Linked DNA regions of Mus musculus. The protein of the gene in region 1 binds, or shares a complex with, the protein of each later gene. Links are inferred from orthologs where the notes say so. Each region holds a gene or a part of one and is shown in the gene's direction. Other genes may lie near its edges. The genes, in order: Rasa1 and Arhgap35.

Region 1 (3,811 bases):
AATAATTTTTCTTCTTTTTTTTTCCTGTGTTGTGTGCATGTGTTCCAAGGCCAAACTGTTTTCAGATAGTAGTTCAGCACTTTAGTGAAGAACATTACATCTTTTACTTTGCAGGAGAAACTCCAGAACAAGCAGAGGTAAGATCACTTTTTCCTAAACTATTAATATCTTTGTATTAGCCTAATTTTCCTTATTAACTTGCATACAAAACTACCATAGTACAGAATTATGAAAGCATGTCTAAAGTGGTAGTATTTTAATAAATGAGAAACTCCATGTCAAAGTTTTTGTTAATAGTTTTTAGCATTTTTTTCTTTTTAATACACATAGACATACACACAGACACATGTACAGTGAAGTGTTATGAGGAATGAAAATTGCCCTTTAAAATTGACCATTAAGTAATCTATGAATTCAGTTGAAACTAATCATTTCATTACATTTCCATAAGTCAGTATAATCTAAAAGAAAGCCAGTTGTAATATTTCAGAGTATTTAACTGTATTTTGTACAGATATGGCTGTTTTCTGAGGAAACTCTGAAAAATAAATTAGATCAAAAAATGAACGTGTCTGGGAATAGAACATCATCTGCCAGGCCTAGAATGAACCAAATGACCATAATACTTTAGATCCTAAGTAGGCCCTTTGACTTAAAAATTTTGTTTTTTGTTTCACTTTGGTAGGACAGAAAGAAATTATAATGTAGTATATTTTGAGAGTAGGACTTGCAGGGTATGAATGGCAAATAATAAATATAAAAAAGATAATTTGATAATTGCATAAACTTATGTCTGCTTCTTTCTAATGCTTTGTTTCTGTTTATGTTTTTTGTGAGTGTAGGATTGGATGAAAGGTCTGCAAGCATTTTGCAGTTTACGGAAAAGTAGCCCAGGGACATCTAATAAACGCCTTCGTCAGGTGAAACTTCATTTTGTCTGACTTGTAATAATTAATTTTCTTTTTACTTTGCTGTTTTTTTCTATGCATGCTATTTTTTCCTAACATTTCTCAAGAGTAGAAAGGTTTTAGTCTTTCAGGCATTTTATAGCTTTGCTGTAAATGGATATTTCTAGGAAGCTTGTTGATTTTAACATACTATTTTATTGGAAGTATATAAAATAGTTGTTTCTTTAGGTAACTAAATACTCTTTGTAATATAAAACCTGGGTTTTGTCCCAAGGACATTTAATTGTATTTGTGATTTAAGTATTCAATATACTGAAATTGTCACATATATTTGTCCATGTAAAATCAGAGCTAATATCGTGAATCCCTTGGATATGTCAGTTCCTCTGCTGTGTGGCTATGGATTGTTCCCAGTCATTAACATATAGTCGTCTACATGTATGAAAAAGGAGAGGCTCCGAGACTGACTTGTAGGAGGTGACATAACTGATGTAGAGAAAACAATAGTAGTGGTCATGTCGTAGGCACCCAAACTGGTGATAAGTTAGTTTCTTGGAATTACTGTCGTTTTTGAAATGTCAAAAGGTAAAATTGGTGTCTTAGAATACCTTAACCATGAGACTCTTACTAGAATAGTGAAATCTTAATGTAAGCATATGGTTGCTTATACTGTACATTACATGTAAGCATGTTTATTCCATGTTTGTAGTTTTCATTTGGATGATGGTAGTTGATTAGCAAAGCTTATGTTTTCTTTTAAATATTAAGGAAAAAAGTCTTTTTTTTTTTTATTTAAAAGCCTCATATTCAGGTCTTGAAATGTTGGATATGAATTTTTGTGTTCTCTTTAGGTCAGCAGCCTTGTTTTACATATTGAAGAAGCCCATAAACTACCAGTAAAACACTTTACTAATCCATATTGTAACATCTACTTGAATAGCGTCCAAGTAGCAAAAACTCATGCAAGGGAGGGGCAAAACCCAGTATGGTCAGAGGAGTTTGTCTTTGAGTAAGTCATATCTTGTCATATTCAATCAGTTTTTACAATCATAATTACATTTTCCTCCTACTGTTTATATATAATCTGTTTAAGTTTCTATTGTTTTCTAGGTGTTTTAATAGTATTTTCTCTTAGCTTCTTTCATATTTGAATTACTCAAAAACAATAACAAAATGCTTTCTGTATTTCCTAATTTTGTTTTAATGAATTATTAATCCTGTTTTAAATCTAACACACTGAACTGTTAAAAAAGAAATAAGGTAGTTTGATACTACAACATTTTTCTAATTTTTTTCCTTGCTTCTTTAGTGATCTTCCTCCTGACATCAATAGATTTGAAATCACACTTAGTAATAAAACAAAGAAAAGCAAAGATCCAGATATCTGTAAGTTGAATATGAAGCTTTCTAAAGTAATAAAAGCATATTGTATATATTTTTAGAATTTATGTGTCAAAATGGAAGTGAAACACATGCTATATAACAGTTTGCTTCTAAATATTGTTCAGAAGGGATTATGAAGGAAAGAAAAAACAAAACGACTAAAGTGTATGTACTGTAAGTCCTTACAACTTAAAATATACAAATGCCCACTTTCCTGTTCCCAAAGAACAAGATGAGAAAATGGTAGTGGTGATTATTTTTTTATTGTCTTTACTTTTTTAGTGTTCCCTCATTTCCTACACTGCACATATTAAAGGTACTGTTAATACTAGAGCTGTAACTCAGTGGTAGAGTATTTGTCTAGCTTGCTGAGGATTAAAACCTAAACCTGCAAAGATAAAGAAAAAAAAACATACACAGAAAATTTAGGTGCTTAATAGCAGATGCTCCGATCCTATTCTAAGCAGTACATTTTTGATAGGATAGATAGATGACAGTGTGATCTAACGATTCACATCGGGGTGACTTAGGTTTATGTCTTCTTACAATTCAGGGTTTTAGGGTAAACAGTAATATGCCAGATCAAATGACATGTACCTCTCTGAATAAAATGTTTAGTCTGTAATTGCATACCTTTTTAAAAGAATGTTTTTCTCCATTACTTATATGATAACATTGCAGTAATGGCACAGAAAAATGTCATACTTTCTATTTGGATGTGGTCTTCATTCCTCTCCCTTGATACCTCACTAGCTATCTCAACATACTTTTCTGTTTGGAAGAGACTTTTAACTCTCCTAGGCTGATTTACTCATCCTTATGTCCAAAAGTACTATTCACTGTTGCAGCACTTGAACTGCATCCTCTTTGATAGCTTAAGACATTTTGCATGCATGTCAGACACAATCCCATGTTCCCATACTACTACAAAATGCCACATAACAGGCCTTCAGTAAGTGAAGAAAAAAAAGTGAAGTGTTGACTTTGTGGTAGTGTTGAAAACCTGCTTAGTGGACAGCATTTAAAACTAGAGAAAGGGATTATCAAGAAAAGTTTATTATGTGACTGTAGTGGTTTTCTAATATCGTAATTTGTTTTTTTCTTTGTAGTATTTATGCGTTGCCAGTTGAGCAGGTTACAGAAAGGACATGCAACAGATGAATGGTTTCTACTAAGTTCCCATATACCACTAAAAGGTATTGAACCAGGATCTTTGCGTGTTCGAGCACGATACTCCATGGAAAAAATCATGCCAGAAGAAGAGTACAGTGAATTTAAAGAGGTATTGTTTACTAGTTTAATCGTTTTTAATGATACTAAACAGAAATATTTACTATTTAATAAAACTCCATTAAGTTAAATAGTAACACCCTATATTAATGGCAGAGAAGAAGCCAGATGTAAAAAACACATACTGTGATTTTGATCTTAATGAGACTAGGAATATAAAGTCAATTTTTAACAATTGTATTCAGTAGATATGTTTTTTCAATTGGTCTTGTTGTGTACTTTCAGCAGTC
Region 2 (4,476 bases), on another chromosome or scaffold:
CACAGCATGACCTTTTTGACTTCATGAAGTTCTGGCTGCTGGATTTGGTCGAGCCCATGTAATTTTATTTAGCAATGCTTACTGCGTACTCAATACGTGTAGGTCACTCCTTTACACCCCACCCTCATTTAGAGACACAGTAGTTCCCTCTTAACTCCCCTGTTGCTTTCTGATGTTTCAGTTACCGGTGGCTAGGAGGGTCACATCCACATTTCTCTTATTACAGCGTAATATATATTCATCGTTTTTCTATTGTTGTGGGTAATCCTCTGCTAAGAGTAATCCATCAGCTATTATAGATATTAATGTATAAGGGAGATCGCCCATATTTTACTGGGTTCTAGTAGTTCGAGGATTCCCACCATGAATCGTGGCCATAGGGCCTATTATACCTCATTCGATTCTCCAAGCGACCCTTTGGAGTTCAGTATTGTTATCCCACTTTACAGATGAAAAGCCTGGAAAGAAGTGCAAGGCTGGATCGGAAACACGTGCTTCCTTCAGGCATTCCACACTCTGTGAGGCGCCGGGAAAGCCTGTCTTTCACAATCCATCCTTCCGGAGGGCTCCCAGAGGAATACAGAGTTAGAGGGGAGCCCTCTTACATCACCATTCCCCCTGCAAGCACCCAAAGTGACATGTGGTTTGCTGTCATTTGCCCGATGCTGACTTGGGAGACTAGGGCTGCAATGCAGGGCCTGTCCTTCCTCTGCCCGAGACCAAGCACTGGGAGAAATCACCAGTAACTTGTATCAACGCGCCTGGCCCACAGGTTTTTCTTCAGCGCCCGGGAAAGAGCACGTGCCCCCTGTCCCCGCCCACTCTTTTGGGCTGGCCAACGGCGAGCCTGGGTTGGGCTGTGAAGGACCACGCCCCCTTCCCTCGCCCAATTGGTTCACTCGCTGGGTACGCTCCCTCCTTCACAGCCCCGCCTCGCCACCCCACGTTACGTCTGTCCCCCCAACCCCCTCCGTTATCCCGAAGCTGCGGCTCCAGGAGGCGAACCCACCTCCCTCTGCCTTCCATTGGTTAGTGAGGTCCCGCGCGAGCGGGATGGAGCCCTAAGTCCCCGCCCTCACGAGCCGGGCCAAGCCTCTCAGAGATGGCTTTCTCTTGGAGCCGGCGCGGTGTGGGGAGGGGCGGCGGGTACTGCAGCCTGGAACGCGCGACGCCGTGCGCGCCCCCCTTGCGGGCTCCTCCCTCCCTTCGGTGGCTTCGCAGGCTGCAGCCGTCTCTGCGCACGCGCACTCAGCCCACCCCGCGCCCTCCTGTGCCAGTTCGCGGGTGTCCGTCCTCGCGCTGTGTAAATCTGGCGCCGCAGCCGCTGAGGTAGCGGCGTTTTCCTCAGGCGCGCACGCGCACTCGCGCCCTCGGTGTCCGCGCGTGCCTGTCCTCCCGGCCTACGGTCCTCGCGGTGCGCTCGGCCCACAGGGCCGTTATCCACTTCCCAACCCCAGCCCCAGCATCTCTCGCCCCTCAGAAACGCACGCGCACTTGCGAGAGGGTCTCCAGTACGCGCACGGCCGCGGCGGCCGCAGGAAGGAGGCGACAACGCCGCTGCCGCCGCCGCCGCCGCCGCCGCCATTGCGCGGGAGGGAGGGAACGAGCGAGCGAGCGAGGCTGGTCCGCCCTCCCCCTGGTTCCCGCCCCTCCCCCCTTCCCCTCCCCGCCCCCCGCCCCGAGGGAGAGCCGCGGCGCGGCGGGAGGAGGAGGTGGAGGAGGCGGAGGAGGGAGCCCGCGAGGGAGGGTCCGCCCGGCCCCCCGCCGCCGGAGCCGCCACCGCCGCCTCAGCCGCCTCAGGAACGAGTCGCTAGGGGAACATGGCGCCGGGCCCGCCGTCGCTGCGGCTGGGATCGCGGAGGCCGGGGCCGCGCTGAGTGCGCCCCCGAGACTGGTAAGTGTCTCGTAGCTGGCGGAGGGGAATGTGGGGACGGGCGAGGCGCCGGGCGCCGCCCCGCTGCGGGATCCAAGGGTGGGGGGAAAGGCGGGGACCGCGGGGCCCGGAGCCCGCGAACAATGGAGGAGCCGGAGGGGGAGGGGTGGGAGCGCCCCCCCCAGCGCCCCGCGGTCCCCGCGTCCCGGCCGCTGCATGCCCGGGCCCGGCCCGCGCGGCCCGCCTTGCCCTTCCTATTCGCTAGTGTCCCCGCAGCCCTGCAATCCCGGCGTCTGCCTCCACACACGCCCCACCAAACCCGGTGAAGGATCTCGGTGTCTCTCAGCCTCCACTCGAGATACCCGACTCCCAATTCTGAGCCGTCTTCTTTCCCACTTCCTCCCCCACCCCGACCCCCAGTCATACCTACTTCGCCACCTCCTGGAGTCGGCTGTGCTCCTGGGACAGTCTACCTCCTCATTGACCCCTCAGTATCCCCTCTGACGCTCACTTTGAATATCCGTGGCCCTTCTACCTTACCTGTTTTCTGCTAGCATCACTTTTGGGAGGAAATCCCCATTCTCCTTCTTTGGCCTATTTACTGTTATTATCCCTGCGGTAGAACATCTTGCATCCCCAGGAGCTGTCCCTTTAGGACCTGCGGTTCCACCTCCGTGGAGATCCGTATTGGTCTGTTGATACAGGCACTGCTCTACTGCCCTCCCGGTCTTGGCTTTGGACATAATTCCTCCTTGTATTTGGGCCCAACTGCCCCATATTTTGCCGGGTCGCAACACTGAACCTTCTGCACCTCCTAGGATGTCCCTAAGCTCCTTCTCCTACGGTTCTCAGATTCTGATGCGCCTTGCTCGCTTCCTTCCCTTCTCAGTGCTTGCTCCCATTTTGCCATTCAGACCCTGTCCTCTTTTCCAGACCCTTCTGCCTGCCAACTCTGCCCCTGTGCAGGCGCTCTGATCTTGCATGCACTCCCCTGTGGTGCCTGGCTTTTTGCCCTCTTCTTTTTACCCCCTTTTCTGTCCCTTAGGGTGTCTCATTTTTGCCATTTCCTTTAGCAGACCTCTGCCCTAACCCTGACTACTCAGTTGTACTCTCTCTGCACCTCTATTCTCGTTGAGTTTCCTCTCTTTCCCACCTTTATTTCAATGCCCCTCTGCTCTGCTTCATTCATTTGCTCTCTCTCCCCACAAACCCATCACCAGTAAGTTCATCTACACCTAGGACTTGCTGCCTATGTCTTCCTTGCTCCTGGTGTTTCTCTGCACTTTAGATGACTCTGACCCTGATCCTTCACACGCTGCCCATTCTGCCCTTTTCTTCTACCGGCTTTTCCCCTTCATTCTCTTTATTTGGTGCTCTTTCCTCTCTTTTGGAGCTGTCCATTTGTCTACATAGTTTTGAATCGTCTTGAACTTTACTGTTGCTGTCCCTGTCAAAGTGATCATCTTCAACACCAGTCTCCTTGTGTTCTATGTTTGGTCCTTCTTAATTCTAAGTCCTCCATCCCCCCCATTCAGCCTTTCACTGGATTTTTTTTTTGTTCATTCTCCGATCCTGTCTTGTTCTGCCTCCACCTCCTTTTAAGTCCTTTTCCTTAGTTCTAACCTGAAGGTATCATTCCTTTCTTATTATCCCCGTCTCCCCTTTCTTGGAGTCTACAAATTCTTGTTTAGATGTTCATTTTCTTTTGATACCCGTTTCTCAGTTCCTTTCCTCTTTTGCTTCTTGCCTTTCTCCCTCGTGGCTTTCTGCCTTTTTCCTCAACCCTGTCAGGCTCCCTTTCTAATACTTAACTCACATCACACCTGCTTCTCAGGGTTTCCCACCCACCACCAACAAGTTCTCCATTGAGGACACCCCTGTCCTATACATCTCTCAGCATTTTCCAGGATAGACTGAGCCGAGGTACTCTAGGCACTGATCCAGGCTGCAGATTCTCTGTGAGTCCTGAGTGTTTTGAATTTTATCCTCCAAAGTCCTCCTGAGATCTGTTACAGAGGTAGGGATTGATTGGTTGCAGCTCTCTGCAGTCTTGGGAGTGTCTCCCCATTTTTCTGACTCTCATCAAGGTTAGTGATGGTGGATAGGATTCATCTATTGCCCCATTTATGTTCTCTTTGCTCCCTCTCTGGGCCTCACAGCTTTGTGCCCTTGGGAAAGGGGACTGCAGCTGCTCCTGACTCTTTATTCTTCTCATTTCCCTCCTTGCCTCTCTGAGCAGTTGTAGCGAGTTGTAGGCTCTACACTCTTCCACCTCCACACCACACACCAGTATGCCCCTACCCTCCCCCCAGAAGCATTCATGAGTTTGTATTTTTTTGTTTATTTTTGGTTTTTCATCAGCTGAAAAGTCATATTCTTGTTTTACTCCAGGCCAAGGAAATTTGAGTTCTCAAGTTTTGCATGTCCCAGGGGTTGCTGAGGCCACATTTGGTGTTTACGGGCTCTAGTCTTCAGAAGCTGTAGTCTTGCCTTCTTGGTTAATGCTGTGATCTTTGGGGGTTGGGTTAGACCCAGTGGGTTTCTTCCTTTTGCACCTATGCCCCCTGGAAGGCTTTAGCTTCCTGGTCTTCAAAATGGTGATA

What was found.
Region 2: the proteins of Rasa1 (region 1) and Arhgap35 are in contact, whole or in part, in a crystal structure (PDB 8DGQ), measured with the Homo sapiens proteins. The link is inferred for Mus musculus from reciprocal best matches to the Homo sapiens genes RASA1 and ARHGAP35. Residues at the interface, in NP_002881.1 of Homo sapiens: Arg188, Arg207, Ser209, Arg211, Val217, Asn228, His229, Phe230, Arg231, Ile241, Gly242, Tyr256, Leu262, Leu263, Lys264, Lys358, Ser379, Asp380, Asn381, Ser387, Gln397, Arg398, Phe399, Lys400, Met411, Gly412, Gly413, Arg414, His425, Tyr426; in NP_004482.4 of Homo sapiens: Ser1085, Asp1086, Tyr1087, Ala1088, Glu1089, Pro1090, Met1091, Asp1092, Ala1093, Val1094, Val1095, Arg1098, Glu1100, Asn1103, Ile1104, Tyr1105, Ser1106, Val1107, Pro1108, His1109.

What each region holds. Positions count from the first base shown.
Region 1 is NC_000079.6:85,226,714-85,230,524, reverse strand, and holds part of Rasa1 (ras GTPase-activating protein 1), read left to right. Parts: intron 1-49; coding exon 50-137; intron 138-842; coding exon 843-920; intron 921-1,759; coding exon 1,760-1,917; intron 1,918-2,217; coding exon 2,218-2,294; intron 2,295-3,400; coding exon 3,401-3,573; intron 3,574-3,811. UniProt on the Homo sapiens protein: Inhibitory regulator of the Ras-cyclic AMP pathway. Stimulates the GTPase of normal but not oncogenic Ras p21; this stimulation may be further increased in the presence of NCK1.
Region 2 is NC_000073.6:16,611,890-16,616,365, reverse strand, and holds the start of Arhgap35 (rho GTPase-activating protein 35), read left to right. Parts: upstream 1-1,372; 5' UTR 1,373-1,894; intron 1,895-2,299; exon of another isoform or gene 2,300-2,326; intron 2,327-2,413; exon of another isoform or gene 2,414-2,542; intron 2,543-4,476.